Danio rerio: one gene and its partner. The protein of the gene in region 2 interacts with the protein of the main gene of each other region in a pairwise test. Links are inferred from orthologs where the notes say so. Each region holds a gene or a part of one and is shown on either strand. Other genes may lie near its edges.

Region 1 (16,952 bases), on a different chromosome or scaffold from region 2:
TTTCACTTGGTGAAACTTACAATCTCAAGTTCACTAGCAGCCTTAAAAATGTGAGTTAACTCAACTCAACGATTCTTTCTTTTAACTTAATGTTGAGTTACACAATATATTTAACTAAAACATTTAAGGCAGCTGGTGAACTCGAGTTTGTAAGTTTAACCAAGTGAGATGTTTTATGATGTAGAAACGTCTTAAAGCTTTAAAAAAATATATATAGCGTTGAAAATAAAGATAAAATACTGACGGTTTGTGGTTATGAATGCAGGTGTGAAGTGCATCTGCGGTTTCTCTGCGAAAACACCTGAGGGTGACTCATGTGTGTGTTTTGGCTTTGCAACATGCATCAACTGAGCACAGATACAGACACCATTATATTATGTAATTTGCAATAATGCAATAACTTTCAGACATCTTTTGTTTTAATTAAAAGTGTAAATATTATAGGGATTTAATAATGCAGATTACATAAATGTTGCTGTTCAGCACAAGTCGCTTTCGGTTGTTTAAAAAAAGCTCAGTGAAATTTCAGCGAGGTGTTGGCAAACTCGTCAGAGCTGTACGTACGTTAATAACTGACTTTCTCACACCCCTATTTCAAAGGGATCGTTCACCCGAAAATGATAATGTGCTGATAATTTACTCACCCTCAGGACAAACAAGATGCTGACGACTTTTCCTTCAGTACATTATAAGATATTCAGCTGCAACTGTGGTCCTTGGGGATTAAAACACATTAAAATACACTGCAAAAAGTAACTTTAGAAGGATTTGAGTGAACATTAGTTTAAAAGTTAGTTGAGCACATTAGTTTAAAAAACTAAGTAGATATAACTTAGTAATACTTTGTTTAGGTAACTTGTTTACTTGTATTGGTTTATAGTAAGCAGCTTTGGGACAGTAATAATACAAAAGACATCTATACATTTTTATGTTCATTCTCTTGCACAGTCCAAGAGATTAAAGGGATGCAAGTTCTGCCACCCTTTACTTATTCTAAATATATTTGAGTTTTGTTGAATACAAATGAAAATATACTGAGGGAATATTGGGGGAGGGGGTAGTGAAAGTAATTGATTTCTAGTATTTTTTGCTCCTACTATGGCTGCTTTTTCCAGCATTATTCAAAATCAGAACAGAAGAAACAAATTCATAAAAGTTTAGAAACTGTTGAGTCACATTTTAAGTCAATTTACAGTTTACATCATACAATTTACTTTTGTTCCAGAACCTGGCGCATTTCCCCAGTTAGCACGGTTCGTAAATCCAGCAATCGTGCTCGGATGCTGTTTATATGTTAAGAAAATTGACCGAACAGCAGTCCTGGTTTATCTGTTATTTCTCTCTATAATGTAAAGCCTATAATGCATAATTCTAGCCAAGGCTCTGTACGAGAAAGTCTTACCTCTGATTTATATTTGGTGACGATGTCTGTGGGTGTCACCCTTTAAAATTAAAGCTCAGCTTTTCGCTAATACTGTCTTATTGCTCACTGCCATAAATTAAAATAGGGACGCATGACAGCTGAGCGGGACTCTACTAAATAAAAAGTGCAACTCTGACCAATGTGATGAGAGTTCACTTGCACGTGTCTTGTTTTGGCTCTTTTGGTCTGTTTAGAAACTTTGCAGTGTGAAAGTGAACCGCACCAAGAACAAAGAGCAACATTGTAACTATTTTAATTCCTGTTTGGGGACAAAACAATCACCCTACAGGTGTGAAAGCAGCCTCAATGCACGGCAATCGCAATGCACAGAGCTTAGCCAGCTGCAAAGGTGAAATGGTGATGAGAACGCTGTTCTTCTTAATTTACAAGTGCTTTGCAACAGACCCAACAACCGCCATCTATCATGTGGAGTATGGACCTGCCTCAATTTTGCCTCCGAGCATTGGAAGTAAACCAATCTCATAGAATTTAACTAATTGTATGCGGGTTTTTCCACAGCTAAATGTTAAACTATTTTCACAAAGCTTCTAACTGATAGTATTTTAACAGATTTAGACTGATTCTGAGGAATCTAACAGCACAAATAAAATAACCGAAAAGTTAAATAAAATCAAAAGGTTCCAAACATTCCTTCATTTATTTTCCTTCGGCTTAGTCTCTTATTTTTCAGAAGTGGCTACAGCGGAATGAACCGCCAACTTTTCTGGCAAATGTTTTATGCAGTGGATGCCCTTCCAGCCACAACCCAGTACTGGGAAACACCCATACACTCTCATATTCACACACACGCTCAAACACGAAGACCGATTTAGTTTATTTAGTTCACTTACATCACATGACTGTGGGGGGAAAAGGGACTTGAACCAGTGACCTTCTTACTGTGAGGCAACAGTGCTAACCACTGTATATGACCTCAGATATAAAACACAGTTTGTATGATTGTCTACAGGTAGACACTTTAAGTTCCAATAAATCATGGAAAAGTGTTTTATATGTCCAAAACAAATACAGCTTTTGGTATCTGCTATTAACACTCGATTCACACGGGGCTTCAGCGTCAACGCTTGACAGAGGATGTGTCTGAAGTTTGGGCTGACGCGATCGTCATAGCAGTGTCAGCCAATGAAATTAGTCAGCAGTCAGCTACTGTCTGAGCTAGTGTGTTTGCATACAGTGATCTGATTGGCTGACGTTTTAGTTGGCGTTTGAAAAGTTGAGAAATTCCCAAATAAAGCAGCGCCGACGGACCCACAATTCAGTTCGGCAAAGCGTGACGTCATCTATTCAGTGAATATGAAGCGCTGACGCCTCATGTGAATGAGCCGTAATGCCAAGAAACATGCTGGCTTCCACACAATCATGTTGTCCAAACACAAATCAATCAAGTTAATTGTTTGTACAAATTTAAGTGGATTGAACATAAAACATTTAAGTTGTGCCCAAAAAGGTATGTAGAACAAGCAGCATTTGAGTGAAAACACATTTGAGCTTTATAACAGAAAACACCACCAGACCGAGACACTTCACCTCCTTCACCTTTACTGGCCTCTGCACACACTTTCATTCAGGTTGACAATGAACATAATGTTTCTCATTGCACTGAAATATATGTTTGCTCTCATCTTTGAAGTGATCTCTTGCCCAGTTTTATGTCCACAAAACATGCTCCTCAGCAAATGTTAGTCTGGCCTTTTGATTCTTTCTGTTTTGATAAAATGAATAGTTCACACAGGCAGAAACATTCCCTAATTTCCCCTGGAGAAGCAGCATTCACACATCCATTCCAAAATACTGGTAAATTCTGACATGACCTCTAAAGGCCTGTGCTGGTATTTGTAAAAACACTGTAAACAGTTATTACTCACTTCACAGTAAAAATAATAAGTAAACCAGTTGCCTTAAAAGTGAAAAGCTGACTTTACTTAAAAAAGTTAGTAAACCTGTTAAGTTAACTTAATTTAATCATTATAATTATAGACATATGTGCATTTATACTTTTAATTTTACATTAAAATTATAAGTAAATACACTGTATTTTTAATTAAGGCAAAAGGTTTCACTCACTTTTTCTATTACTGAGAGAAAAACTACTTTAGAATGTAACTAATTCAACATACACAACAAAAACTGCTATTTTAATCCTGTTCAGAGAACTTATAAAATAGTTTGTAAACATATTAAACAGGAATAAGCATGAACCTTGAAAATTACAATATTGTTTTCTTTTGCTTTCCACTTTACATTAATCTGCCACTTTATTACTATTACCGGGTTGGATCCCCTTTTGCCTTCAGAACCGCCTTTATCCTTCGTGGCATAGATTTAACAAGGTACTATAAATATTTGTTAGATTTTGCTCCATATTGACATGATACCATCACACAGTTGCTGCAGATTTGTCGGCTGCACATCCATGATGCGAATCTCCCGTTCCACCACATCCCAAAGGGGCTCTATTGGACTGAGATCTGGTGATCATTGTCATGTTCAAGAAACCAGACTGAGATGATTCACGCTTTGTGACATGGCACATTATCCTGCTGGAAGTAGCCATCAGAAGATGGGTACACTGTGGTCATTAGGGATGGACATAGTCAACAATACACAAACCCTACAGCCTGTCTGGCATTACCAAACTATGCCACATTCAAAGTCACTTAAATCACCTTTCTTCTCCATTCTGATGATCAGTTTGAACTGCAGCAAATCGTCTTGACCGTCTCTACATGCCTAAATCCATTGAGGTGCTGCCATGTGATTGGCTGATTAGAAATTTGCTTTAGAGAGCAGTTGGACAGGTGTACCTAATAAAGTGGCCGGTGAGTATGTTTGTGTTTTGTTAATGGGAAAACAAATCTGCATAACAATAATTTTAATTGTTCACGTTTTGAGTTCACACTTGAAAATGATATATGCATAAGAAATACAGTCACGATAATTCAGGTATAGATGAATAAAATAATACAGTGACTACAAAACCACACAAAAAGTATTAAGTTGTACAGGTATGTTTGCAGGAATGGCCAACAACACAATTTTTTGAGTCAAAATTGTCACTTTTATTGCTACGTATTGCTAAAAACTAAATCTTTCCTCACTGCTTTGATTTATTTGAACCATCAGACTCCAGATTTTCAATGGTTGATATTGCCCTATCCTAACAAACCATACATCAGTGAAAAGCTTATTTAAGAATAATTCATAAATCACCCTCATGACTTGTTTTGTGGTCCATGGTCACCATAATGCAATTAAATAAACAGTTCAGGGCTTAAGAAAGAAATCTTAAAATATTCTTTGGAATATTCGGAATAATATAATATTTGGATTCTATGGCATTGCTGCAAACAAACAAACAAAAAACGTTTAAAATATTTATAGTGCATATTTATTCCACCAATAACCCAAATCCTGGATAATCTGGCATCCACTGAAATGCACAGACAAACCGCAGACACAATCACCTCTGTGTCTCACCTCTTACACACAGACACACACACTTCCTCTTCCACATTTACTGTCGGCCAGCAACACCGCATCATCAGGGGAGTCATCAGGATTCAGCACAGACCTGGACAATTAAACATCATACATGTCAACATCAGTGCGTGGCTATTTTTAAAGATGTGCAGCACAAAAGAAGAAGCTTTCTAAAAGCAAAAATGACTTATTAATAATGAACTCGTTCCTCCTTCAATGGCAGAACGTTCACATTCAAAATCCTGAACCCAACACTTCTGCATTCCAGAAAAATATTAATAAACTCAAGATAATGATACACGTTTCTTCTTTACCAACCAGACATTGTTCCAAACAAAAACCCATTTCCCATTCTGGAAATATGATGCATCCGGAAAGAAAAATGCACAATGAACATGAAGGAATTATGATTTATTTATGCACTATTTAGACACTTTAGCAGGACTGATGCTGCAGTAGAAGTTTTAAACCTTGTGTTGGGGATGTTTTCATCCACTCTGAAGTGATTTTGAGTCTTAATTTGGCCACAACTTTCACTGTGTTTAAGCATTTTGGGAAAATGCTTTAAACAAAATACAATACACCTTTGTGCAATACACCCTGGGCAAATTGACTACCCTTTCATTATGTTCGGGGCTGTTTTTGCCCCATTGACTTTCATTATAATCACATATTTGATTGCAAAGCCATGACACCATATAATACTGTATTTATGATTGTTGGTGGTTTTTCCTGTTGGCAAGAGGTACACTACCTGACAAAAGTCTTGTTGCCTATTCAAGTTTTAAGAACAACAAATAATAACTTGCCATCTAGTTGATCATCTGGTATCAGAAGTGGCTTATATCAAAAGTCAAAGTCGTCTAAATTGTGCTTATTTTACCAAAATAAAATATGATCATGCCTTGATTTTTACTGATTTAATTAGGACAGTAAGGGCTGACTTTGCATAGACAAAAGTCTTGTCACTTAACAGAAATAATGTCTAGTATAGAATATAAAGTCATGCTGCAGTGGAGAAATAATGAATATTGTGTGACTCCCATGAGCTTGGAGGACTGCATCCATACATCTCTGAATGGCTCAAATCACTGATTAATAAAGTCTTCTGGAATGGCAAAGAAAGCGTTCTTGCAGGACTCCCAGAGTTCATCAAGATACTTTGAATTCATCTTCAATGACGCCTCCATCTTACCCCAGACATGCTCAATAATGTTCATAACTGGTGACTGGGCTGGCCAATCCTGGAGCACTTTGACCTTCTTTGCTTTCAGGAACTTTGATGTGGAGGCTGAAGTATGAGAAGGAGCGCTATCCTGCTGGAGAATTTGCCCTCTCCTGTGGTTTGTAATGTAATGAGCAGCACAAATGTCTTGATACCTCAGGCTGTTGATGTTGCCGTCCACTCTGCAGATCTCTTGCATGCCCCCATACTGAATGTAGCCCCAAACCATGAATTTTCCAAACCAAACTTGACTGATTTCTGTGAGAATCTTTGAGTTCCAGTAGGTCTTCTGCAGTAGTTGTGATGATTGAGATCCAGTTCAACAGATGATCCATCAGAAAAATCGACCTTCTGACACTTTTCTAAATGATCAACTAGAAGTCGAGTTATTATTTGTTGCTCTTACAGCTGGCATAGACGACAAGACTTTTGTCAAGTAGTGTACGATGTGTATTTATTACTGTTTATCATCGGATGCAGTGCTAAAAAAAAAAGCTTAGGTTCTGGCTTTGGAGATATATGGAGGACAGTGTGTGTGTGTGTATATATAAAGGACGTTTGTGCACTTACCTTGATACGTCTGTAAAAAAATCTAAATAAGCAGCTCAGCACTCAGAACACAGAAAACATAGTAAGTGTATTTATGCGTACACAAACAGACACACACACTATAATTCGCTGTTTTACTTCTGTTTTACACTTCAAAGAACTCAATTTAAAAGCCAGAAACTGTTTTGCAAAGGCCTATCTAAAGGGTTAATGCTGCCAACTGATGATCAACAGTAACAATGACAAATTTACCCTCTGCCCAACAAAGAAGCATGTATAATGAAGTATGTATAATTATATGCTGTCAAGGCTTTGCAATCAAAAATGTGGTTATAATGGAAGTCAGTGGGGCACGAACGCAATGAAAGGGTAGTCAATTTGAACAATACATAAAGTTAATGGATACAAATTTATAAACTATTGAAAGGTATTTTAGTTTAAAGGTGGGTTCATGATGTCTTTGTATGGTTGTTGTATTTGTCTGCATTAAAGAAATGGAAACTTTATTTAATCGACGCTATAGGACGATAAGAATCAATGGCTTCTGGATTTAAACAGTCAGGTTCAACACCAGACATCCGGAAGCCTATACAGACATCACTATATGCTAAATAAAAAAAAAACTGCAACCTGAATCATGGCAAAAAGAGGATGTCCTGGGCAGAACTTTACTTGGGCCGGCTGAATCATCAACACTGGCACATGCTGACTAATCAAAAAAGATGAACCTGAACAGACGGACTATACACATACACTGTCTGTCTATCAGGATACTCATTTTATTTCCCCTTTTACCACTGTGCATTTAATAAAGTGCGCTAAAGAAAAGGTTGATATTGTGTGTGTGTGTGCCAAGACACTGATATTGAGGCGCTTACGAAGGAAAAAACACAATTCACTTGCAGCAAAAGATTTCATTCTGCTCAAATTAGATTTTAATACTATTTTTTAATCTTTGCATACGAGCGATTATAGAAAAGGATGAGGGAAATTGTTGATGATTATCTGAGAACAGTAAAAGAGTTCAGTTTGGTGGATATATTGACAAATAAGTCATTATTGCAGGATCCTAAAACTTTGTTTATTTGCAATTGGCTGGATTCTGAATTTGTAAATTAAAAATCGCAACATCCAATGTTGGTAATCGGTATTAAATGATTGGGATTCAGTGCTTTTATATAAATAAAAAGCATATAAAAGTGAGACTGAAATGAAGTAAAGAAAGACTACTAAAGTCATTGTATTTGCACAGTTGATTGATTAAATAAAGAACTGCATATATTTTTAAATGATAAAATGTTTAAATATGCATGCATTAATAATAATAATTTGCATGCATTCCTAGCAAAAAATTTTGGACGAAATGACTTTACGTTTTAAATTCTTGTTTTTTTTTTTCTAGGCTTTTACAAAGTTTATTTTAGCAATCTCTTTTTATTACTTATTTTATTCTCTTTGATGGCCAAATAAATAAATATACATTTCTGTAGAATAAAATGTTGCATATAATCAGCCAAATTAAGCATTAACAAATCATTGTTTAACCCTTGTGCACTGTTCCAATGTTCTACACTTTTGTTATGTTAGGGATGAAAGCATCCACTGAATTAAACTGCTGTAAAATGCATAAGATTTTAAAATTCATAATTCTTTTTTTTTTTTTGCATAATTCTGTTAATCAACCTCAGTCCTGATCAAAACGACTAAACTGTTTTGAAAATTACAGGATGTTAACTCTGTACTTGCCAAATTCATAAATGATGCACTGTTTCCGGTGAAAAAACAAACACAAAATGGCGCATTTTCAATATAAAGAGTAATTGTAGACTGGATTTAAAAAAAAATAAATTATCAGTCTTGGACATGTGAACAATTAAGAACAACATTGGCTGAGACATTATTAGATTTTCATTTTTTCTCTCTAATTTACTGTTGGTGGCTGTTTTTGCCCTATTGACTTCCATTAACCACATTTGATGGTGCATAAATGCACAGTCTTTGTTTTTATTTACCCCATGTAGTTCTTAGAGCCGAGATGCACATTTTAATTTTCTCAGACACATCAAAGTAAGTGCGTAAAGGTCACTCTCACACACTCGCAGACACACACTTTAATTTGCTGTTATACTCTATATAAAATCCGAAAACTATGCTTTCTAAAAGCCTATCTAAAGGTTTAACGCTGCCAACTGAGGATCAAAAGTAAAAATTACTTATTTAACCACAAACAATCAGAAATGCAGGATTATATGGTGTCTTGTTTTTGTTATCAACAAAAACGGTTATAATGGAAGTCAATGGGGGAAAAACAGTCACCAACAGTAAACTAGGGAAAAATAAAAATCAATCAAAGACAATGCTGTTACTAATCGTTCACATGTCCGAGACTCTGATAAAAGGTTTAAAAACCCAGTCAACAATTCTTATATTGAAAATGCGTCATTTTGTGTGTGTGTGTGTTTTTTTTCAGCAAATCAGTGACATCGTTTGTGAACTTGTCGAATAAAGAGTTAAAATCCTGAAATTTTCTGAATAATTTAGTTTTGTTTAGGACTGAGGTTGAAAGATTCCAAAAATTCAAATAAATATTTATCTGATGCATTTTCACAGCAGTTTAATTCAGTGGATGTTTTCATCCCTAACATAAAAGGGTAGTCAATTTGCTCAGAGTGTATTGGTGAGGTTTTTTTTTTATTATTCAAATCTATTTTTCAAAATGTCAAAATAAAATGTCACCAAAAAATTGATTCCATTTGCTGAAACAGAGAAAGCTCATGGGCAAATTCAGACACAAAATCACCCCAGAGTGGATGAAAACATCCCCAACAGCACATAAGGGATAAAAAGTATAGGAATCAAACTGTTAGTTGTTAGTGCTTCTGAAATGGAGATTTATGGCTCAGTGCTGCATAAGAAAGTGTTTTACCTTAACTGCTGTTTATTAAAGATTTAGATTTTATTGTAATTTACACAACTCAAAATGCCTGATCATTGTAGCAATTAGGATAGCATAGAGCAAATACAAAGATTTTTAAAAGAAAATTAATTAAATTGATATATATATATATATATATATATATATATATATATATATATATATATATATATATATATATATATATATATAAATGCATTGTGTCTGTGTGTGTTCTAAACATTTAACCAAATAAAATAAGATATGACTAGCCTATTATACTGACTTCTAGGTCACCAAATATTACAGAAACCGAATATTATATTTGTTAACTATAATAGTTATTAGTGCAACTTTTCCACACAAATTGTGCTTGTAATAGCTAAAAAAGCAAATAGTATACTGGAATTTAACGAAATAAAGCGTTTTCGTGAGCTTTTAAGGATGCTACATCAGCTAAATAAACACAAACGACAAGTAGTTTTAGGTTTTAGACCAGACTGCGAGGTGTTTAGCAGTGATTCAGTGTGATTGTGTGCACGAGGGCTTTAGCCAAACAATTCAGCCATATTATTAAAAACCGCGTGGCCATTTTATAAAACAGACTGTCCTTTGTTATATATGAACGCTTTAAATGTGCGCTGGGTTTGTACATAAATTTCTGCAAAAGGTTTGGGAGCACAAAGCAATTCCCGTAACCTACCGAGAGCTCCTCTCCGCTCCTCTCGACTGATCTTCCGGGAAAACTGCAGTTCAGCTGAAACACGACTCTGCTGTTCCCATAGAGACACAACAGCACGTTCCCCAAGATCACCATATATGGACACGGAAGTGCAAGCGAACGACAGGGAAAAAAAATGTGTGGCGCGCAAATACGCACTGACGTCAGGCGCTGTACGTTTCTGCGTACTGAGAACGTTCCGATCATGACAGCAGCCTCGGTATCATCGAATCTATGTGGGTGAAAACACAGAAACCTTCAAAAATACATGGATCTCGATACTCTGTGATAAAATTATAGTGCACATTCTAGACATGAGGGTTATGTATGTTGCTGTTTAGAAACGATGCATTCATTTGCATTGCATTATTTGAGGGGCTTCAGAGAGGAGATTGAAAACAAAGACAGACAGACACATTTCCTATTTAATATGTATTCTCTGTTTATTATAAACATGCCAGACCACAGAAAAGGAAGCAGGAAGAGCAAAAACATAAAATATGCATGATTTTTTTGCCACCATGGTCAATATTACATTGTAATTTTAATAAAGAATATGTAAAAACAGTAAGTCACACACTTGGACACTGTGTAACGGACCGCACTGTACATCAACACATCAACTGATACAGTTACACGTACCTCTTGGTACAAAAGTGCATGAAAGCATGTCTTTCACAGAGATGGACAACATATTCAACAATGCCAACAAACTGGAAGAAACAAACAGTGACTTCACTGGATGTAGGGTCACAGTACATCTACTGCACAGCATTCACTATATTTCCACTATATTAGACATGTGTTGAACATGTCAGACTCATTTATGAAATGATTTTTTGTTGTATTTCACACCATTCTTTAGAATATTTCATCTATAAAATAGAGGTTCTTTATTGGCATTTGTGGCACCAAAGAACCCACAACACCCGTGGACCTTTGTATTGCACGCACAATGTGGAAAATGTTCTTTGGATCATACAAAGATTCCATAAGAGAGCTGTTTCCTCAGGGATGATCACTCACAAATCCACTACAAATATTCCGGTGAACATTTATTCTTAATGTGAAGAACACTTTAACTATTTGTTTACAGTATTAAGTACCTTCTGTGATTAAGAACCATTAATTTTCATTGTGACAGCACGGTGGCTCAATGGTTAGCACTGTCGCCTAACAGCAAGAAGGTCGCTGGTTTGAGTTTCTCATTATTTCTGTGTGGAGTTTGCATGTTCTCCATGTGTTGATGCGAGTTTCCTCCTGGTGCTCTGGTGCTCATGATGGACCTAGCTTTCCCATGTGGTCTTCCATCCAGGTACAGCCCTGCTTATATAGCTTTCATGGCGACCATGTGAGAGTTGCAGAGAGCTAGCTTCCAGCAGAGCTAGTACTGGGAGGCACCCATACACTCTCACATGCACACACACACACACTCTTACACTACGGCCAATTTAGTTACTTAAATTCCCCAATAGCGAATGTGTTTGGACTGTGGAGGAAACCAGAGCACCTGGAGGAAACCCACGCCAACACTGGGAGAACATGCAAACTCCACACAGAAACGTCAACTGGCTCAGTCAGGACTCTAACAAGTGACCTTCTTGCTGTGAGGCGACAGTGCTAACCACTGAGCCACCATGCCACCCCTTCAATGCCATCAGAGAAGCTTTATCATGTGTAAATTATTCCTCACACCAGGAATAAAATGGAGGACCAAACACTTTTGCTTCGGGGGAAACCAAAAGAGTATTCATTGCTTTTAAAAATATTTTCTTTTATTTTGAAGCGATGCCACGGAAGAGCTGTTTCCGCCCAGAGAATATTCGTGTGCTCTTCTAAAAAACAACCGTTTATCACGTAGTGTTGAGAACGTTCTGATAATTGAAAGAACCTTCTGTGTGCATTGGACTGTTTCCGCACACTTACGAGTATCAGTAGGATATTTCAAGAGTTCACACTTAGATACTGTTTGACAACTTATTAGCAAGTTAGCAGGTTTGGCATGCTGTCCCGGGTGAGAACCCTGAGCTCGGAGATAGTTGAGCCCAGGGCTCCCGCTAGGTCCATAAAGCATGTGAGGGGAGTACGAGGTCAGGTGTTCTCGAGAGCTCCCCTCGGCAAAAGAGGAAAGGAGGAGAAGGGGTGGATGGGGGGTTTCTTCGGAAAACGAAGATAGGGGTGTACATCTTAGCTAGGTTATTTATAGTGAGTTTGGATCGTTCTGATTGGCTAGCTAATGAGCGTAGATGAGTGGCCGGCTGCAGTCAATCGTATCACGTGCTCCTCTCGAAATTAGTTTATGAAACTTCATTTATTGGTATTGATGGTTCCATGAAGAACAATTATCATTCATGCAGATTTTCATTCCACACAAACTTTCTTTATAATTAAATTATGTTATTTAGATTATTTACACACTAAGAAAAATGCTTCTTATAAAGTCTGTGTTATTTAGTCTCGGCGCCTAGCCTGCAGCTCTGCACAAGAAGTTTGGCCAGAGGAGAAATAGTCGTGCCCAACTGAGTTTCTCTCAAGGTTTTTTTTCATTCACTTTTGTCAATTGGTGAAGTTTGCTCCTCGCCGCTGTCGCCACTGGCTTGCATGGTTTAGGAATTGTGGAGCTGCGCATTGATGGATTTGCTCTTCAGTGTTTGGACTTTCAACAGTGAAAATTAAACCACACTGAACTGAACTTCAGCTCTGAAAACTGGACTCAATTTACTAGAACTTCTATGGTAAGCTATGACACAATCTACATCGTAAAAGCTCTATAAACAAACATGAATTGGAATTGAATTTTTTTTTGCAGCGTTTATCTTGCTAGCCCACATTGTTATGCTTTAGGTAATGCAAGTTAGTGCAATTGCAACTGAAAAAGCAATGTTTATTATTTTTTCTTCAGCTTAGCCTCTTTTTTCATCAGGGTTCGCCCCATTGGAATGAACCGCCAACTTATCCAGCATTTGTTTTACAGGAAACAAATTTTGTTTTACTAGGAAACACCAACACACACTCTTTCACACACATACACTACAGCCAATTGAGTTAATTGTATTCACCTGTAGCGCATGTTTTTGGACTGTGGGGGAAACCGGAATATCCGGAGAAAACCCACCCCAAAATGGGGAGAAAATGCAAACTCTACACAGAAATGCTAACTGGCCCAGCCGGGCTCAAACCAGGGACCTTCTTGCTGTGAGGTGATTATGCTACCCACTGCACCACCGTGACGCCTGAAAAAGCCATGTTTGTTTTGGTATATTTAATCTAAGTCTGAGATATAAAGGGAATTTCAGACTTATATAGGGCTGAACACTAAGGACTTTTTCCAGTTGGTTGTGAAAACGAGGTTTACTAGCCTCATCCAAATATATATATATATATATATATATATATATATATATATATATATATATATATATATATATATATATATATATATATATATATATATTTAATTAGTTATTTCTTAGCCACATATTTTAAATAATGTTTCAAAACAAGCAAATGCTAGTTGTATCCATGCACACTTGTTTTAAACATAACTTTCTTCTTCAAAAAAAACAAACAATTGTATATAGAGTTCGGTCGAAGGTTTTTTTGAGATGGATTGTTGGTGATTGGAGGCATGGACAGATGAAAATTAAGACTTGTTTAAAAGGATTTAAGACCTACAAGACATAATTTCAGCGAGTTTAAGGCTTTTTAGGACCCTGCAGAAACCCTGTAAAAAGGAATCGTGCATAAAAAAGCCCCGCCCCTGCTCAGTGTTCTGTCTGTTAGTACATCAGCACACTGAAACTAAAGTCTCAGCTGACTTTAAGAACAATTTTAACAGAAAGCTTCTGCGTGGATCCAATTATGGTTATTCAATCCTAAAAATAACTTTACTTTTTTTTATTAAAAATCCTTCATGGAAACATCAATGCCAGTAAGTATATTCAAGAGTAAAATATTCTACCAGTTTGTTTATGGGAAACCTAATGTGTTCTTCTGGGCTCTTAATCATATTTTTTTTGTTTTGCAGTGATGCAACTGAAGAACCATTTTCCCCCTCCAGAAAACATTTTAGTGCTCAAAACAACCATTTATTTCTTAGAGTGAGGAACAACTTAATAATTCAAAGAACTTTCCATGCATTGGAAAGGTTCAATGAATGTAAAGGATCATTAAAGATGCCAATAAAACCCTATTTTAGAACCTTCATTTTATTGAAACACTCCACTTTCTTTTGGAAATAGACTCATTTTACAACTAACCTAGAGTTAAAGAAATGAGTTTTACCCTTTTTGAATGCTATTGAATATTATCAGGCTCTGTGTATTATCACTGCTCCTGCTGCAGCCACCTTCCCACATAGCAAAACTTCTCTGGCCCAGATCTGGCCCACACAATCAGTTTTTGCTTGGCCCACATGCCGCAGTGAATTATGATACATGACTGGACCAAGTCTGGCTTCCATACAAGAGCCAAATTTGGACCATATCTGGGCCAAGTCTTAGCCAAGTTAACAACCCATAACTGGACCTGAACTAGACCAGATATGTTGGTGTCACGACTGCAATGAATTTGAGAAACTTATGAAGCATTTGTGCTATGGACCTGCTTTTTCTTGAAGCGACCTGATAGCCAGAATTTCTTCTTTATTCAAACATAATTTAAATGCATTTTAAAAGTGGGTGAAGATAGGCCAAACTTATTTGGCCCACATATACATTTTGAACATCTGGACCAAATACTACATTTTACATCTAACCCAAGTCTTGTGTGCCATCTTAAAGACGGTGCCACCTGTTTGGCACCACATGCTGTATGCCAGTGCCGAATAAATGCCTGCTGTGCCAGCTTTATGCCAAATCTGGGCCAGAATTCTTTGCTACCTGGGTTGATTATTACGCTGAATGAACGTATAGTTCCTGGCCATATCAGCCTAGAAACTGCAACTTTTCATTTTCTGTAAGTCTCAGCACATGATGCAACAACAGAGGAGTCAAGCTTTAAATATGGGAGAATTATCAAAACTCTTTTTTAAATATTTTGAGTGAGATGCTAATGGTCTAATCCGATTCAATGATCTATGCTAAGCTAATCTAAAAGTGCTCCTGTTAGACTCATAGATTGCCTGAATGCATTTTAAAAATTGGTAAAACTCATCCGTTTAACTCTTGGAGACTTGTAAAATTAGCCTACTTGATACTATAAAGTGAAGTGTTCCTTTAAGGAGTGCACAGTAAAAAATATCAGTAAATTAGCAGCTTTCTATATTTTGCGATTCGCGTTTTTATTTTTCCCCATTTATGTATGCTTTTGAATTGCATTACAGGACCTTGACCTTTCTTCCAACAACTTTTACCCTTAAAAAGTGACTTTTATTAACATTTTTAAGAGTATAAAAGTGATATAATATATATAGTCTGGGTTGGTGTTGTGTCTTACTCTACAAAAGCCTTGTAATATACTGCCATTACATTTTCTGTTATTTTATTTCTCTATATATACTTTATATTATTTCAAGTGACAAAAATGTCAATAAAAGTCTCTTTGATTAACTGTAGAGTTGACTTTTCAACCATCAAAAAACCATCATTTGATATGCAGCTTCTCCTAGACTGCCCAGGAGTCTAGCACCTAGACTGAAACTCTGGGGTGGGTTTCCCAAACACTGACGTAACTCGCGGCTGAACCATGCGGCTGAACCATGCATGCAACGATGCATCGTTTGGGAAAAGATCGACGTAGTGACGAGTGTTTCCCAAAACTCGTAGTCTCTCTGTCGCAGATCTATTGTTTGAACCATGTTAGTTGTAAAACGCCCATAAAGATGCTCTAAACGGGGGGGTAACAACTACTTTAGAGAAGAACCACATCATTAATTTGCGCAAATTATATAGTTTTACACACATTTGAAAAAAAAATCCAATATTTTTTTGGGTAAAAACATGCACTCGCTTTCCGTATTAACTGAAATATATGTAAAAGGCAGATATAGGGCCTGTGTTTCTTAACAGATATTATTGAGAATATTACATATTCTATTCTATAACATAAAATCACGTACAAAAGCAAACACATATTCTAATCTCATATACAAATCATATAATCAGACTATTTTTTAAGAAATGAAATTTAATATTTATTATTTATTAGAAAATAAAAAAAATCCTACTTTAATAATAATATTAATGATATTAATGATTATGATGATGGTTATTATTATTAAGTAGGATATTGTTTATTTATATTATTTTTTATTTTAAGAAAAGTCTACTTTTACACTTTGACACTTGCAAACCACCGCAGAAATGTCCTAACCAACAGGCCCATGTCATATACAGTACAGATACTTAATAAACAACCGACTATAAATTAAAAGCATTACCGTGTGATATGTTTTTTGTTTTTAAAAGCTTCGGAGACGTAACATAGCCTAAATTCCGCTTTTAAATAATAGGTCAGGGCGAAGCAGTGGCGCATTAGGTAGTGCTGTCGCCTCCATCAAGAAGGTCGCTTGTTCGCTGGTTCGAGCCTTGGCTCAGTTGGCGTTTGTGTGGAGTTTGCATGTTCTCCCTGCGTTCGTGTGGGTTTCCTCCGGGTGCTCCGGTTTCCCCCACAGTCCAAA
Region 2 (15,985 bases):
GTCAAAAGGTACCTACAAGCGAACTGTATTGTACCACTTTTTGAGCACCGTTTGCAAAGAGTACCCAAGCACAACAAAAAGGTACCAAAAGACTGAGCTAAACGCGCAACTGAATGCTATTGATATACAGAGAAATGTCACTCGTGCATACACAAACAGAAGAATGAAAACAAAGAAACCGCCATTTTTAAATGCACAGCTGAGACATTACATCGTAATACTATATGCATATAATAACAACCCATGGTTGACCTAAGCTCAAACTAACCTTCATCATCTTGATGAACAGCCACAAAGCCGAGAACAAAATCTGCCTTGTCCTGTTTTTTGTTTTTGTTTTATGAGGCTGTCTAAAAGTGCGAGCGGTTTTACTTTCTCCAGGGAGCTCGCCGCAACCAAGCTGACCAATCACAGAGCTTGCGCTACGCGTCAATACATTTTTTGAGAGGTACACGTCAGCCATGGCAAGGGACCATACGCCTGCGCCTGACGCAGAAGTATAAATGAGCCTTTAATGTCCTCTAATGTCTGTCTCGGGTGATCTTTGTGTAAATGGGGTCAAACATGTTTCCAGATCATTCTAAGCATGTTGTATTTGTTGTGTAAACATCAACGCATCCTGAAGGCAACATAAAAGTTAAATTGTGAAACACAATGTATCTGAAATAGGGGTGTCAAGCCTTTATTTGTGCAAAACTTAAGCCAACGTCTTTAGTAAGATTACCGTCTACAAGTTTGACTTGAAATCTGATATTTTTGTGTGATTTAGAAGAAAGTAACCTATAAAAATGAAAACAAATGATTTTAATATTTTTTTATAGTCATTCCATCTAGGTTTTCTCTCCCCTCCACCTTTTTTTTATCTCAGAACATTTTAAAGAAGATTTTTAAATGCAATTGTGGTTCTTGCTGGTTTCATTAAATGCAGGTCAGCATCAACCACCACTTTTAGAGTAAAAAAAAATGCATACAGGCAAAACATAATGAACACCTCTGACTGCTGACCATGCATTGAGGTCTTATGAAGTGAAAAAGTTGCCTGCACATGCACCTTTGTGACTCCAAAAGTGCGACTAATGTGCGTTATATGAATCAGGTTTTTTTTTCTCTTGACTGGCCAGGGATTGTAATCAGCTGACATTTCCTCATGATCGGCCTAAACGATGACCGGCTGGTCTTCTATTTAATGGCGTATATGCGGAAGGACTTTTAATTTGTCAGTAAACTGGGTTAAGCACTATCAGGTTGTTAAAGTGGCCAACTGTGGTATTGGTAACCTAGCAACCAAAAGTAAACAAAGCATAATGGAGACAGCTGACTGGTCACATGACTGTAATGCTCAATACGTCAAGAATTTGTTCATTTCATCTCGCATTATTTGAATTAACATCTTAATTCCTCTGGTTCATGCAAAATTTAACTTGGAGTCTTGTCAGATTTTTATATTTCTGTTGTTTTTTTTTTCAGAATTTTTTTTTTTTTGTATATTTAAAAAAAAAATTGGGAATCTGAATCATCCAAGAAAATTGCTATCGGTGCTAGTTTTTCTTCAATGATCATGTGACTGTGAAGACGACAATGATGCTGAAAATCCTGCTTTGCGAGACAGAAATAAGTTTAAAACATTTGAATAGAAATCAGTTATTTTTAATTGAAGTATGAAAGTTTTTTTTTGCATTTAATATTCGTAAGTTCAGCTTTGTGAACATTATACAAATATTTAAAGAACAGTAGAAATCTTAAAGACTCCCTACTTTTTGAACTGTAACTGATGTAATACTTTATGCATGACACAAGAGGGCGCCAAAATCACTTATTATAACTTCTTATGCTTTCTCCTTTAGTTTGTCCTGCTGGATGGAAGCCAGGAAGTGACACCATCGTTCCCGACGTGCAGAAGAGCAAGGAGTTTTTCTCCAAGCAGTAACAGTCTCTATTTCTGCATTCACTGGGCTGTTGAAGCACTTAAATTCAGCCTGAGGGGGTCTAGAAAAGTTGATTTAGCCATCGTAACAAACACAGGTTAAATGCACTAGTTAGTCTGATTTCTGTCTGAAGAAGCCGTTTCAGCCCGCGTCTCTCATGCACTGAAATATCTGTAGTTTGTGTTCAGCTAGTTAGTCTGCATTGCATATTTGGTACTCTGTGAACATAGCTGGTTTTAAATTCTCTCAAGTTGTTGGCATTCTGGTGATTTTGTCAATATCTCTGTTAAATAAACAGGCTGTTATTGCTGAATGTTGCAGTTGTCTTATTGTGCTTGCTACTTAATGGATGGTTGACCTCAAATTAAACATTTAATTAGTTTAGAAGGTATGGTAATGGCATGGTAAACCGAATTTTAAATGCAGAAGGACACAGTAGTGTTTTCTTCATGTTTTAATATTAGAATTATAATAGATGGAACAGAATTTGAGAGATAAATGCATATCATGAAATTGCATGATAATTCATGAAACTAAACCTGCGAAAACAAATTTAATAAATAGGCAAAAATTAAATGAGTAAATAAATCAATAAATTCTTGCATAAATAAAACCTTAAATAAATATCCAAATGAGTGTATTTTAAAATTTTTTTTAAAAATGTTGCATAAATAAATATTGAAATGAATAATAGTGTGGGTATGGAGAACAAAACCTGCAAAACAATAAAGAAATATGCAAATAAATGAATAAATAAATACATACACATTCCTGCATAAATAAAACAATAAATAAATACCTACGCAAACAAATATTTATTCTTGCATAAATAAAACATTAAATAAATACACAATTAAATGTATAAAATCTACAAATTTGTGCATAATTAATAGTAGTTTGAAAGGGGGAGAAATCCACGTTCAGTTAAGCATTTTCTTATTCCCCCAACATCTGTGTAATTTATTTTTAATCTGCCTGTACTATTTAAACAATTATTTATGCAGGAATTTGTGTTTTATATACATTAAGTTATTTTTTGGATATTTATTAATTTATTGCTTTGTTTATGCAGGAATTTATTAATTTATTTACTTATTTATTTGGCTAGTGTTTTATTTAGGCAGGACTTTGGGATAAATTTGCATATTTATTGATTTATTGTTTTATTTATGCAGGAATTTGTGGATTTATTATTTAGTTAATTTGCTATTTATTTTTTATTTTATTGTTTTTGCAGGTTTCTCCCTTTCTCCCTCCATAGTATCTTATATAATATTATAATTCAATTAATAGTATAAATATACATTTTACCACCCCTATAACGGTTCATACCATTGTGAAGGCAAGCGCGCCAAACACTCTGTGAGGAAAAAACATTCACTCGACGATAGTCTGAAACTGGCAGGTCTTCAGCAGCTACAGACATCGTAAGTGTTTAAAAGACACTTGTTTTAAGTAGAATATATGTTTGTGTCTGTATATAACTTAAAACTAAAGTCAATTGAGTTATATAGATTGACCTAAAGTAACCCCTGAAACGACTAATCGAGTCACTATAAGTTAGAATACGCTAAATATCCTTTAAAACACTGAAGACTTATGTTTTATTATTAAAATATACGTAATTAAAATGAATATATAAAACATATATTATTATATAAATATATAAAACAGACATTTGATTCACTGAAGCGTGTAATACGCTATCGAACATAGGCCTAAATGATTCACACCCTGATTAAAATGCTTGTTTAAGAATATAAAGTTATTAAGATTAAAGGTAGCAGGCGAAGTCAAACGTATTTTCTCTGATAATGACATTACAATATTTTTGGTGGAAGTCAAAATTAACAGAATATTAACAAATCTGCCCTGCAGGTGGCAGTGTTTCATTATAGTTAGGACAGAGTTACAGCTCTGGAGTCCTCATTGATTCAGCTGTAATGAAGCAGGAATCACTTTTCTACATAAACCCAAAACAATTTTAATAAATATTTGGCAAATCTCGTGTTCAGGACTGAGTGAATGTGTACTTGCTTAAACAAGTGATTCGTAAATTCTGTGGTTATTTTACACTGAATTTTAAACCAGCTCAGACATAAATAGTAATTTAGTTAATCTCCTAGAATTGTCTTTATTGCTTAAATCTGTAATTTTGTTTACAACATCCCCGTGTTTTCTTATTATTTAAAGGCCAGGGCTCATTTCTGTGTCCATGAAAAAGGTAAATTCTGCCTTAATAAAATGTTATACTTTTTTTTTTTTTTTTTTAAATATAACAGATATTATAATATAAAGTGTGCCGTGTTATTATCCTGTCATCTCAAGCTTTACCTTATTCATTCACTCATTTTCTTGTCTGTCTTGTCCCTTTGCTTTACCTTATTTAAAAATCTAAATGTTTATAACGTGTATTAGCTTGGTTTCAGACTATGGTGACAAAAATGACCACTACAAAACTAAAAAATATGCTAAAAATGTTAATTATTAACTTCATATGTTGCCAGTAAAAATTCCTGGGTTTAAAATGTTGACTTGGCTCTTTAAAATGAAAGGCTATTTTATAATCTAGAAACTTTTAGATTGATCTTTATTGTGGAATAGGGTACTTTTCCAGATGATTTTGTAAAAGAAAATATAATAGGCAAGATGCCTTCTTTTAAGAAGAGATTTCTAACACTGCATCGCTGCGAAAACATTTGAAGTAGCTAAGTGAACTTTCTACGGCACAATTCAGTGTAGATGTGTGTTTATAGTCTGTGAGGAGGCTCGAAACAACCATTCATTCAACATCTGAAAGGTGTAATTAGCATAATGGACAAATAACCCTCTTTTTGTCACCTAAAATCTAAGTATTTTAGGAATTATTCAAATGAATTTAACATTTTAATAAAGGGTTGGCGTTTTTAATGGCCAGTTCGGCTAATCTACCGCCTGTGTGTTTTCGGGAAATAGCTGATAAAGGAGTCACTGTGGGCACTTCTCGTTTATAAGCCTTGCTCTTATATTTACTGAGATCTGTTTGTCTATTTTTGTGCTTGCGACGGCTCCGTTTTCTGCAAAGTACCTGGAAAATGCCCGTGCTCATATTTTTATCTCTAGTTTTCTTTTCGCTGAAACTGTTTTGGGAAGGTTTGTGCGCGCGGGGAAAATCCCGCGTTGCTAAATTTTCTCTCGTTCACACGCGCTCCATTCATCGAACGTCAGAGTTGAAAGCGCGCGGACTTCCTGACCGGTAGCGTGGGCGGGGGTTCCCGAAATCTACCCTTAGTGACGTACATAGACCAAAACTGCCCATATATGGGCCTTGCGTCAGCAGGAAAAAAAAAGCCAACGTGGGCACGTCTTCGACGTAACTTTAAAGCCGTAGGCTACAGAATAAACTTTGTTTCTGCTCTACGCTTGAAATAAACAACCCAAACAGTAGAATCATTTTCAACATTTTTACTTAAATATAAAAAATAAACAAAAACAAACAAACAGAAAAACAGTTAAAGGTCTGGCTCAACCTGACTCACAATATCAATAACTTACTGGAATGTTTTCAAAGGGCAGCACTTAACAACAAAACCAAAACTGTTCACTTCAAAAGTTTAGTCCATTGTCCGTTCGGCTGAAAGTACCTTATCTTTGGAAAACAACAATAACATTAAAGTTTTCTACAAGAAAACACTTAAGAAATATACAACGCTCGTACTCAGTGCTGCGACAATAACATCATCACAAACAGGATCTGCTCTTCCAGTGTTTCCCAGAGTCCGTAGCATCCCTCTCCCCCCTAAAACGACTTGATCTTCGGCGTCAGCATCAGCTGGCACCCGCTGCTCACATGGGTCATGACCTTCTGCTTAAGCTGAGCTACCTGCTCCCTCAGCAGGGACGCAGTGCTGGACAGTCCGGCGTTATCCGACTTGAGCACTTTCACTTTGTCCTCCAGCCGGGAGATGCGCTCCAGCTTCCGTCGCCGGCACTTGGTGGCCGCCAGTCGGTTCCGGAGCCTCTTGCGCTCCGCTTTGATGCGCTCCTGGTCCTCCATGTCGATGGGCGACATGGGAGGAGAACCATCGCTGCTCTGCAGGTCGGGGACGGTCTGTGGCTCCTCTTTCAGAGTAACGAGCCGCTGCGGATGGAGCGAGTGCTGGAAGTGATGAGGATGCGGCGTGGGCTGGTGGTGATGGTGGTGGTACTGCTGGTGGTGGTGATGGTGAGGCAGGTAGCTGATGGTGGCTGTCGGGTAGTTGGCTGCAGGTGTGAGGTTAGTGTTAGGATTGCAGCTGTTCAGGGTGGTGTACACCGGAGTCTCGGGCGGTAAGGAGGCGCCGAAGACTGACGACGCCACCGAACAACTCGACACCCCGGGGGCTCCGATGGACACGTTCGGCGGGGGCATTTGGTTCATTTTGTGGAGCTCGTCCAGCGCTTTGACGAATCCGTCCGCGAAGCCCTCTTGCTCCTCTGTGATGCTCCGACCGTACAAATACTGCCCCGGCGTGGGTGATGTGATGACGCCGTTACCGTTCTGGATGATGAGTCTCTCTAGCTCCGGAGAGGCGAGTTTCAGCGAGCCCACGTCTCCGGTCGCCGCCGTGTAGAAGTCGCTTTCGGAGCGGAGGGTCTTGAGGTTCCGGTAGGGTTCGGCGAAGCTCACGCTCATGTTCTGCTTTAGGAGCTTGTAGTCGTGCAGGGCAGCGTCTGGATGACCATAAGCAGAAAGAAACGAGTCGTCATAAAACGGTTGCTCCATTTTTGTTGACATGTGAACAGAGATTACGTTGGGACGTACTGAAGCTGACTAAAGTCCGCAAGTTCTCTCCGTTATATTACATCAGGCAAAAGAGAGCAAAAAAAGAAGAAACTTCCAAAATAGTTTACTGTACCAATTCGACAGGTGTTTTCTCTCGACAGCTGACGTCCAAAAAGTGTCTTCCCAGACGGTTATTTACAAACAGCTCTTCTGGCCCGTCGCGCATTCAGTATCATGATAAGTGCGCCTTCATTCTTATATACTCCAAATGCTGAGGGCGTGGCTGAGATAATCGCGGCCGCTGATTGGACGAGAGTTCGTTCCGCTCCTCGAGCTGTCAGATGGGTTGATGACGTTGTTGCCAGTAAGCGCTGAGATTGAAAACAACGCTGGAGGCGAGAGAGCAAAGGGAGACCGAGCGCTGCGCTCCTATTTTTGTTTCCACAGACAAGAAGCAAAAACTGGCCGCAATAGCTCGGCACTTTTAAGAAAAGTTTCCCATGGCCATGAAAACAGAAACACTACTGTGGTCTCTTGAGAAAAACACTACGTTAGAGGATGTCGTGTGAATAATAATAATAAACATTCTTGTCGAAATGGAAACAAAAGGTTCCAACACAATACTGTGATCTCCGTAGATCTGAAGCAGAATATACGAGGAGCTCTTTAATATAAACGAAATTGGAATTTATTTTAAATGTCAAGCTCTAAATATATTCCTTTAATTTAGGTGGAGCATCTAAACTGGCCATTTAAGTAAATACAGGATTGCAGGATTGAGATTGGGGGATTTCAGCCCAAGTTAAATGTGTCTGAGCTACCACATCATCTCGTCAATGATCAAGAGAAGCTCTATTAAAGGGTTAGTTCACCCAAGAGTTACAATTCTGTCATCATTTACTGACTGGATTCAAACCTTTCTTTATATGTTGAACACTGAAGAAGATATTTTGAGGAATGCTGGAAACCCATTGACTTCCATTGTGTTTGTTTTTCTTAACCGTTAGATTTTTTCAGCTTTCTTCAAAATATCTTCTTCATTGTTCAACATAAAAGTTTTGAAGCAAGTAAAAGGTGAGTAAATGATGACAGACATATAATTTGTGGGTGAACTATCCCGTTAATGTGCTTTATTGTTAAACATGCTAGGAAAGGCTATAGTGAGTAATATAAAAATAAAAGTAATTAAGAGAATATCTAATACAGATTCATACAAGGGCTTATCAGCTATTTGAATTGGACTGCTTTTTAAGTACTGAGTCATATAACACATAAAACATGACTAGTAATAATAATAGATCCTTCTCATAGAATTCACTGTAAATAAAAATGTGTTAATGAACAGTTACTGTATTTAGTGATTCACATGTGTGTTTTCTGTTTATTTATAGGTGTGAATTGCATTATGGGATGTTGATATCTGCTCTGTCGACTTTTAATGTTGAAAATTAAACTCTGCAGTTGAACAAAGTGACTTTTATTGACATTTTTGTCAACTTTATCAAATGAAATGAGTGGAGTTAACTCAAAATTCACTGAAAGTTAACTCTACACGTTCTTAACGTTTAGTTATTTCTTAAACCCAATGGTTGAGTTAAACATATTTGGTGCTTTGTTGGGTTATTTTTACCCTTTATTTGGTTATTTAATAATAACTCAACCAGTTGGGTAAATATTTGATGTTTTGTTGGGTTACGTTTAACCTTTATTAGGTTATTATATAATAACTCAACCAGTTTGGTAAATATTTGATGTTTTGTTGAGATATTTTTTAACCTTTATTAGATTATTTAATAATAACTCAACCAGTTTGGTAAATATTTGATGTTTTGTTGAGATATTTTTTAACCTTTATTAGATTATTTAATAATAACTCAACCAGTTTGGTAAATATTTGATGTTTTGTTGAGATATTTTTTAACCTTTATTAGATTATTTAATAATAACTCAACCAGTTTGGTAAATATTTGATGTTTTGTTGAGATATTTTTTAACCTTTATTAGATTATTTAATAATAACTCAATCAGTTGGGTAAATATTTGATGTTTTGTTGGGATATTTTTTAACCTTTATTAGATTATTTAATAATAACTCAATCAGTTGGGTAAATATTTGATGTTTTGTTAAGATATATTTGAACCTTTATTAGATTATTTAATAATAACTCAACTAGTTGGGTTAAAATTTTGAATTTCCACAGTCAACTGATTTAACTGACACAGAAGAGCTGTATTAATATGCGCAAGTAATGTTGTTTTTGCGTTGTGAAGTTTAAGCTGTAACATAATAATATTGTTATTTTTTATCAAATTACTCTCTGTGTCATGTTTTTTATATCAGTTTCACCTGCCATTCTTGCCTTTGGGACCCAGCGGAGAGATTCATTAATTTTCACAGCCATAGTTAGAAAATAAAAGTAGTACTTCAATAGTAATAGCAGAATGGAAAAAATAACATTTAATTAAAATAACCCAATGCTTTGGGTTAAAATAGCCCATAGTTGGGAAGGTGCTATAATAACCTATAGTTGATTTATATGTTGGGGTATTTTTAACCCAACTATTTTAACAGAGAACTCATTTGAAAATAGTTTTGAACTCAGGGTTGAAGGTAATGAGTTAATTAAATACCTCATTAATTCAACTTAAATGGAGTAAAGTGCTCATATTGATTTGTTTTTTAACTCAAATGGTTTGTAGCAATCAGTTTCTTCAAACGGTTTGAGTTGCCTTAACTCATTGAGTTTTGCAGTACTCAGTTGGTTTGAGTTCTCTTCATTTATTGGGTTTTACTGTGATCAAATTGCTTCGTTTACTCAAATGGAGTAAGTTCACAGTACTCATTAGGATTAGTTTTTGAACTCAAGTTTGTTGCAATAGGTTACCTTAAATGGTTTGAGTTACCTTAACTTTTGGGGTTTTACAGTGTAGTTTGAAATAATATAATGAATAAGAAATAATATATTGAGAGAAATAAATCAAAGAAAATGTACTGGCAGTTTATTACGAGGTTTTTGTAACACAATATACAACACCAACCCAGACAATATATCACTTTAAACTATTAGAAATGTTAATAAAGCCACTTGTTATGGCTAAAAGTTGTTGAAAGAAAGATCCCATAATGCAATTCAAAAGCTAAATATGTAGAAACATAAAAAAAGAAACTGCTGATGTTTTACACTAGAGATTTGTACTCTAAAGTATAACCTGTAAACATAACTCTGCATTGATCTGGAATGATCTGACTCAGGATTTGGCAACTGATATGAGTCCCATATATGGGCAAACCGCAGTGTAGTTCCTCCTTAGTGTAGGACCGGGAAACCTCTCCCATGTGGGCCTGATTCCAGCGGCGACGCCCCCGCACATGGAGCGCTGGAGGAGGGGAGAAGGCTGATAGATAGCAGCACGTACACAACACTCTGGCGCAAGAGTGTGAGATTCAGAGAGCACGTTCTTCATTTGTTCTTTATCTGTTCTTCATCTGACATATTAATGCAGACTGCATGTTAGTGTAGTTGTGCCGGTCTCTCAAACTTGATGCATGCACTCTTAAAAATAAAGGGGGATTTTCAGTGATGCTGGAATCATTTTGATAATAATTATAATGATACTATTGATAATAAAAGTGATGATGATGAGGATGATAATAGTGACAATATTAATGGTAAAAATATTAATAATATAAATATATAATATAGTAATATAACAGTTATAGTGATATAATAAGAATAGTGACCATAATAATATAGTGGTATTACTACTACTATTGACAATAATGAAAATAATATTAATAATATTAATATTAACAACAAAAAGTATTTTGAAAATAATATTAATAATAATAGTGCTAATAATAATAATAGTGTCAAATAATATTAATAATAATAGTGCTAATAATAATAATAATAATAATAATAATGATGATAAATAATATTAATAATAATACTGCTATTAATAATAATAATAATAATGACAAATAATATTACAAATAAAAGTGCTATTATTAATAATATTAATAATGACAAATAATATTAATAATAATAGTGCTATTAATAATAATAATAATAATAATAGCGACAAATAATATCATTAATAATAGTGCTATTAATAATAATAATAATAATAATAATAATAATGACAAATAATACAGACAAATAATATTAATAATAATAACAGCAACAATAATAACAACAACAATAATAGCAATAATAGTATTAAAATAACAGTTATCATATATTAATAATAATAATAGTGAAAATGATAATAATAATATTAGCAACAACAAAAGAATAACAACAATAAAAGTGATAATAATATTAAAATAATAGTAATAATATGCTAATAATAATATAAACAATAATGTCAACAAAGATAATAATGACAACAATATTAGTGATGATAATGTTGATAATAATAATAGCAACAACGATCATAATAAAAGCAATAATAGTGATAGTAATGTTAAAAATAATAGTAATAATATATTATTAATAATAATTTTATTAATAATATATTAATAAAATATAGTTTTATATAGCACCTTTAAAATAAGGCAAGTTAATTTATGTAGCATATTTTTACATGATAATAATTAAAAGTGCTTTAGATAAACAAAAATTAACCATAAAATACAATAATTATAAGAACTGAAAAAATGTAAAGCATTAACGTGATTAAAAACAGATAAATAATGTGATTAAACAGGTTTAAAATGAATATATTTTTAAAAGTAGCATCTTAAAAAAGTGCTTTACATGCATGAAAACTAGACTGAATACAAGCACACTATAATAAATTGCAAATAAAAATCACAAATCGCATAAAAAGTTATGCTAAAAAAATAATATAAGAAAATTGTTCTTTAAAAACCAAAACAAAACACTTGCTTTCTTTTTGTGCCTGATTAACTTTATAAAAAATATAATAATTAAAGTATAAGCATACAGGAAAAAACACATTTTCCCCTGCACAACCCCCAACCCTCTATACAGCCAAACCAAAAGATATCCCTTCAAAACATAACTTGCAATTTACAATTTTCAGAGTTTATAAACAAAATCAATTGATTAAAACATGAAAAAAATCAGTCATGTACATTGTAAACATTTGCAGACAATGCACATAATGGCATTCTCAATACAATTCATGCCACAATAATATGAACAATCTAATGATTAGACTGTCTGACTACAAAAAAAGTTCTAATAATCAGAAAAAAACACTTATTTCTTAGTGTGTTGAACATCTGAATCCCCATTTCCACTATAAATAACCTTTTATGTATGTTGTTTTTCACCTAACCCACAATGGCTGTCATTCAACCTTAGTTTTAATAATATAGGAAAAAAGCGATTGTTTGTAGCAGGTCAGAACACAATGCAGCTTCACATCTCTGGTGCGTGAAGATATTCGCGCGACCACATTTGAACACCTGTTTAGCACTAAAAGAAAGCCACTACTGTCTCCTCAATATGATAATAAGTCTGAATCATCACTGGCTGGGCATGGAGCCAGGTGCTAACCAATGTTTCGCCATTCAGCAGCAGTGCAGAGCCTTTCACCTACATTCAGGTATAAATCAGAGTTCTGTCAAGACGACACTTATGTCTCTTCTGCTGTATACTGTAAAAATACATTTACGGTAAAACACACTGGCAGCTGTGGTTGCTGTTTACTGTAAACTACTGTATTTCATTCATTTATAATATATTCAATGTTTTGAAGTACTAAACTAGACTGAAGTAATGCAATAAACATTATATATCAACATTAGATGTAACAAAACAAAACTTTTTACGATAAACTACCATATTTCATTCATTTATAATGTATTTAATGTTTTGGAGCACTAAACAAGTAATGTAATAAACATTATTTATCAACACTAGATGTGACTAAGCATAAAACCTTTTATGGTAAACTACTGTAATTCATTCATTTATAATGTATTCAATGTTTTGGAGTACTAAACTAGACTAAAGTAATGAATAAAACATTATTTATCAACATAAGATATAAATAAACATAAACCTTTTTTTACGGTAAACTACTGTATTTCAATTATTTTTTACAATGTATTTAATGTTTTGGAGTACTAAACTAGACTAAAGTAATATATTAAACATTATTTATCAACATAAGATGTAACTAAACATAAAACTGTTTACGGTAAACTACTGTATTTTATTAATTTATAATGTATTCAGTGTTGTGGAGTACTAAATTAGACCAAATGAATGTATTAAACATTATCAACATAAGATGCAACTAAACTTAAAAACTTTTTACGGTAAACTACTGTGTTTCATTCATGTATAATGTATTCAATGTTTTGGAGTACTAAACTAGACTAAAGTAATGCAATAAACATTATTTATCAACATTTGATGTAATAAAACATAAAACTTTTTACGGTAAACTACCGTATTTTATTTGTTTATAATGTATTTAATGTTGGAACTTAAAAAACTGAAATAAACATCATGTCAAAAAAAAAAAAAAAGTTATGTGTCATGCAGGGATTTCGTAAAAGTCAATTTACAGTAATTCACTGTCAGGGACGGCCTGGCCATATGGATCACGGATGGCCTGATGGTTCAATAACTTTTCCCTGTTAAAAATGCAGTCCCAGTCCGCCCCTGTTCACCGTATCTTACTGTTAACCAAATTTAGATTTTTAGCTGTAGCATTTTTACAATTTTTTTTCTGTTGAAATCACAGCCATTGGACAGAAAGCCATGATGCAATTTTAAAATATCATTGTTTTTGTTTACTGAGTGTTGATTAAGTTAATATGCTTTAATACACTGAAAAAGGCATAAACTTTCACATTTTGCGGCACCTCTTTTTCTAAGTCTGTCTGAAATGCTCTGATTAAGCCCCTCCTTCTTAAATGCTTGGAGTGTTCTAATTGGCTGGTTGACTTAAAGCCATAGAGCAGTGTGATTGTAAGCAAATAGCTTAAGCATGTGTCACAAATGTAACACCCTTTCCAATAATAGCACATTTTAGTTGTTAAGGCTTCTGAAGCCCTCTTTAAACTACGTTGTTTTTGTTTACTGTGTATTCGATTTTTGGCACATTTTGCAGCACCTCTTTTCTAAGTCTGTCTGAAATGCTCTGATTAAACCCCTCCCTCTAAAAAGCTTAGAGTGTTTTGATTGGCTGGTTAACTTCTGGCTACACGACCATTGTGATTGGGCAAATACCTTGAGTATGTGTCACTAATGTAACACCCTTTCCAATAATAGCGCATTTCCGTTTTTAAGGCTTCTAAAGAAATTGTAAACAGTTAACAATAGTCCAGATCAGTTTATCATGTCATTCCAAGCATGATTTAGATTCTGACAATTCGGATGATCAGATAAACTAATCAGAATCATCTTTAGTATGTGCTTTAGTATGTGTCTGTTTGTGTATTCAAATCATGATGAAGGTTTTTGCAGAAATAAAAACAGCTTAACAATTAGGAAGCATGGGTGATTATAAACATTACATGAGTGGTTTTATTTAGCCATTTGCTTATACAATATTTGCAATCCTATTACCAAATGTTGAGTTTCAGGTATACTCATTCTGATAAAATTTTTCAGTATTCATTCATTTTCTTGTCAGCTTAGTCCCTTTATTAATCCGGTATATATAAAATTAAATGACAAATTTGACATACAAATTCGTATTTTGGATTTACGTATATAAATATGCCATATATGTAACATACATTTCGAAATATTGCAAAAATAGGTGCTTACATATATATTTTTTCCTATTTATTGGGGTTTACATATATTTCTTTCCCAATATATTTTGGATCGTAACTCATAACGATTAGTGACACCAATACAAAAAACAAAAACAAATGAAAAACCATAAATCTTAGCTAAATATACATAATTTTTAAATAAATAATTATGCAACCGTATATGTATTAAACCCAATGCATTCCAATAATTAAATAGCATAATAATTGCATATATATATTCTTTGATACATAGAGACATATGCAAATTACATATGAAATGCACGTTAATATTTAGATTTTACGTAAATAAATATGTCAAAAATTAAATAAATATATATATCTTTTTTTTTCTAGCACAATAATCAACTTGTCAGAATACAAATGTATTCAGTAGCTCTGCTTCTCCTGTCCTCTAAATAATTCTTCTGAGTGATTATGATTCATTGACAGTGATGTGTGTGGACTTTCAGTTGTGTCATCGGATGAGATCAGGGTGGAGGTCATTCTTCATGGGCCGCACTCTTTCTTCAGAAGCCTCTAATACTTAAACACCAAGGTCATGGGTTCAAATTCACTTACTAACAAAAATGCAAATCTCACATTTTGTTTTAAACACCTGCATGGTTTAAAATCATGGAAAAATCTTAATTTAAATCAACAATGTCAGTGATATTCTTTAAATCAAAATGAACTGATACTCATATTTTTGATTCCATTGTCTACCATAATAATGAGTAAGTCCTTTTTTTTTTCATTTCAAAATTCGACCCGGATTGTTTGTTCATGAATGAGCCAGTCATAGTGAAAGTATGAGGCTAGAGAATAAAAAAAACAGACAAGAACAAGATAGACATCCAACCGTAACCAAGAACAGTGGCTTCCGTCTCACTTCTTTGATATCTTCAAAATCAAACCAGGCTACAGAGGAAGTTGGCTTCCTCTTGCTTCATTCCACCACCACAAGCTCAGTTCCTACACTAGATATCATTATTTTTTTTTAAAGAATTTGCTATATCGTAGTGTGATCTTTTTATAGATTTACTCAACTGTTGTTTTTTCAGGTGTATCTACTGTAAGCCACCTTATCACCAAATCCATCAGCCACTATTAAAGGTCACAGAAAGGTTTATTTGAACTTTTAGCCCCACCTTTGCGCATCACTCTATAAACAGCATTATTTTTTCCCATCAACAAGCTTTCGATATTATTTGATCCCACTCGCATGACGTCAGGTGTCTGTCAGTTTCATCACACCAGGTCCAGAACAAAGAGAATTTCGCAGAAGGATTGTGTTTTCTCTGAAGGCAGAAAAACATGAGAGATTAAGACAGTACTTCTCATTTAACAATCGTTATATTGATCATTCTCATTTCACTTACTGGAGGTTGCAATGCAGCCCATATAGAAATCTGATACATGTAAATAAATGCAAATTACATATATGACAAGCTAATTTGTATTTTGGATTTAACGTATATAAATATGTCATATATGCAACATGGTTAGTCGTCTTACAGCAAGAAGGTTGCTGGTTCGAGTCCCGTCTGGGCCAGTTGATGAATTGAATAA

Evidence for each region.
Region 1: the proteins of junba (region 2) and batf interact in binary tests that used the Homo sapiens proteins (3 or more experiments, as listed by UniProt). The link is inferred for Danio rerio from reciprocal best matches to the Homo sapiens genes JUNB and BATF.

The regions. Positions count from the first base shown.
Region 1 is NC_133195.1:49,920,262-49,937,213, reverse strand, and holds the start of batf (basic leucine zipper transcriptional factor ATF-like), read right to left. Parts: upstream 10,360-16,952; 5' UTR 10,316-10,359; intron 5,016-10,315; 5' UTR 4,922-5,015; intron 1-4,921. UniProt on the Homo sapiens protein: AP-1 family transcription factor that controls the differentiation of lineage-specific cells in the immune system: specifically mediates the differentiation of T-helper 17 cells (Th17), follicular T-helper cells (TfH), CD8(+) dendritic cells and class-switch recombination (CSR) in B-cells.
Region 2 is NC_133176.1:55,050,697-55,066,681, forward strand, and holds junba (junB proto-oncogene, AP-1 transcription factor subunit a), read right to left. Parts: upstream 6,907-15,985; 5' UTR 6,803-6,906; exon of another isoform or gene 6,682-6,802; coding exon of another isoform or gene 6,580-6,681; coding exon 5,704-6,579; 3' UTR 5,355-5,703; downstream 1-5,354. Other genes in the region: prdx2 (peroxiredoxin-2), read left to right, coding at 1,845-1,927. UniProt on the Homo sapiens protein: Transcription factor involved in regulating gene activity following the primary growth factor response. Binds to the DNA sequence 5'-TGA[GC]TCA-3'.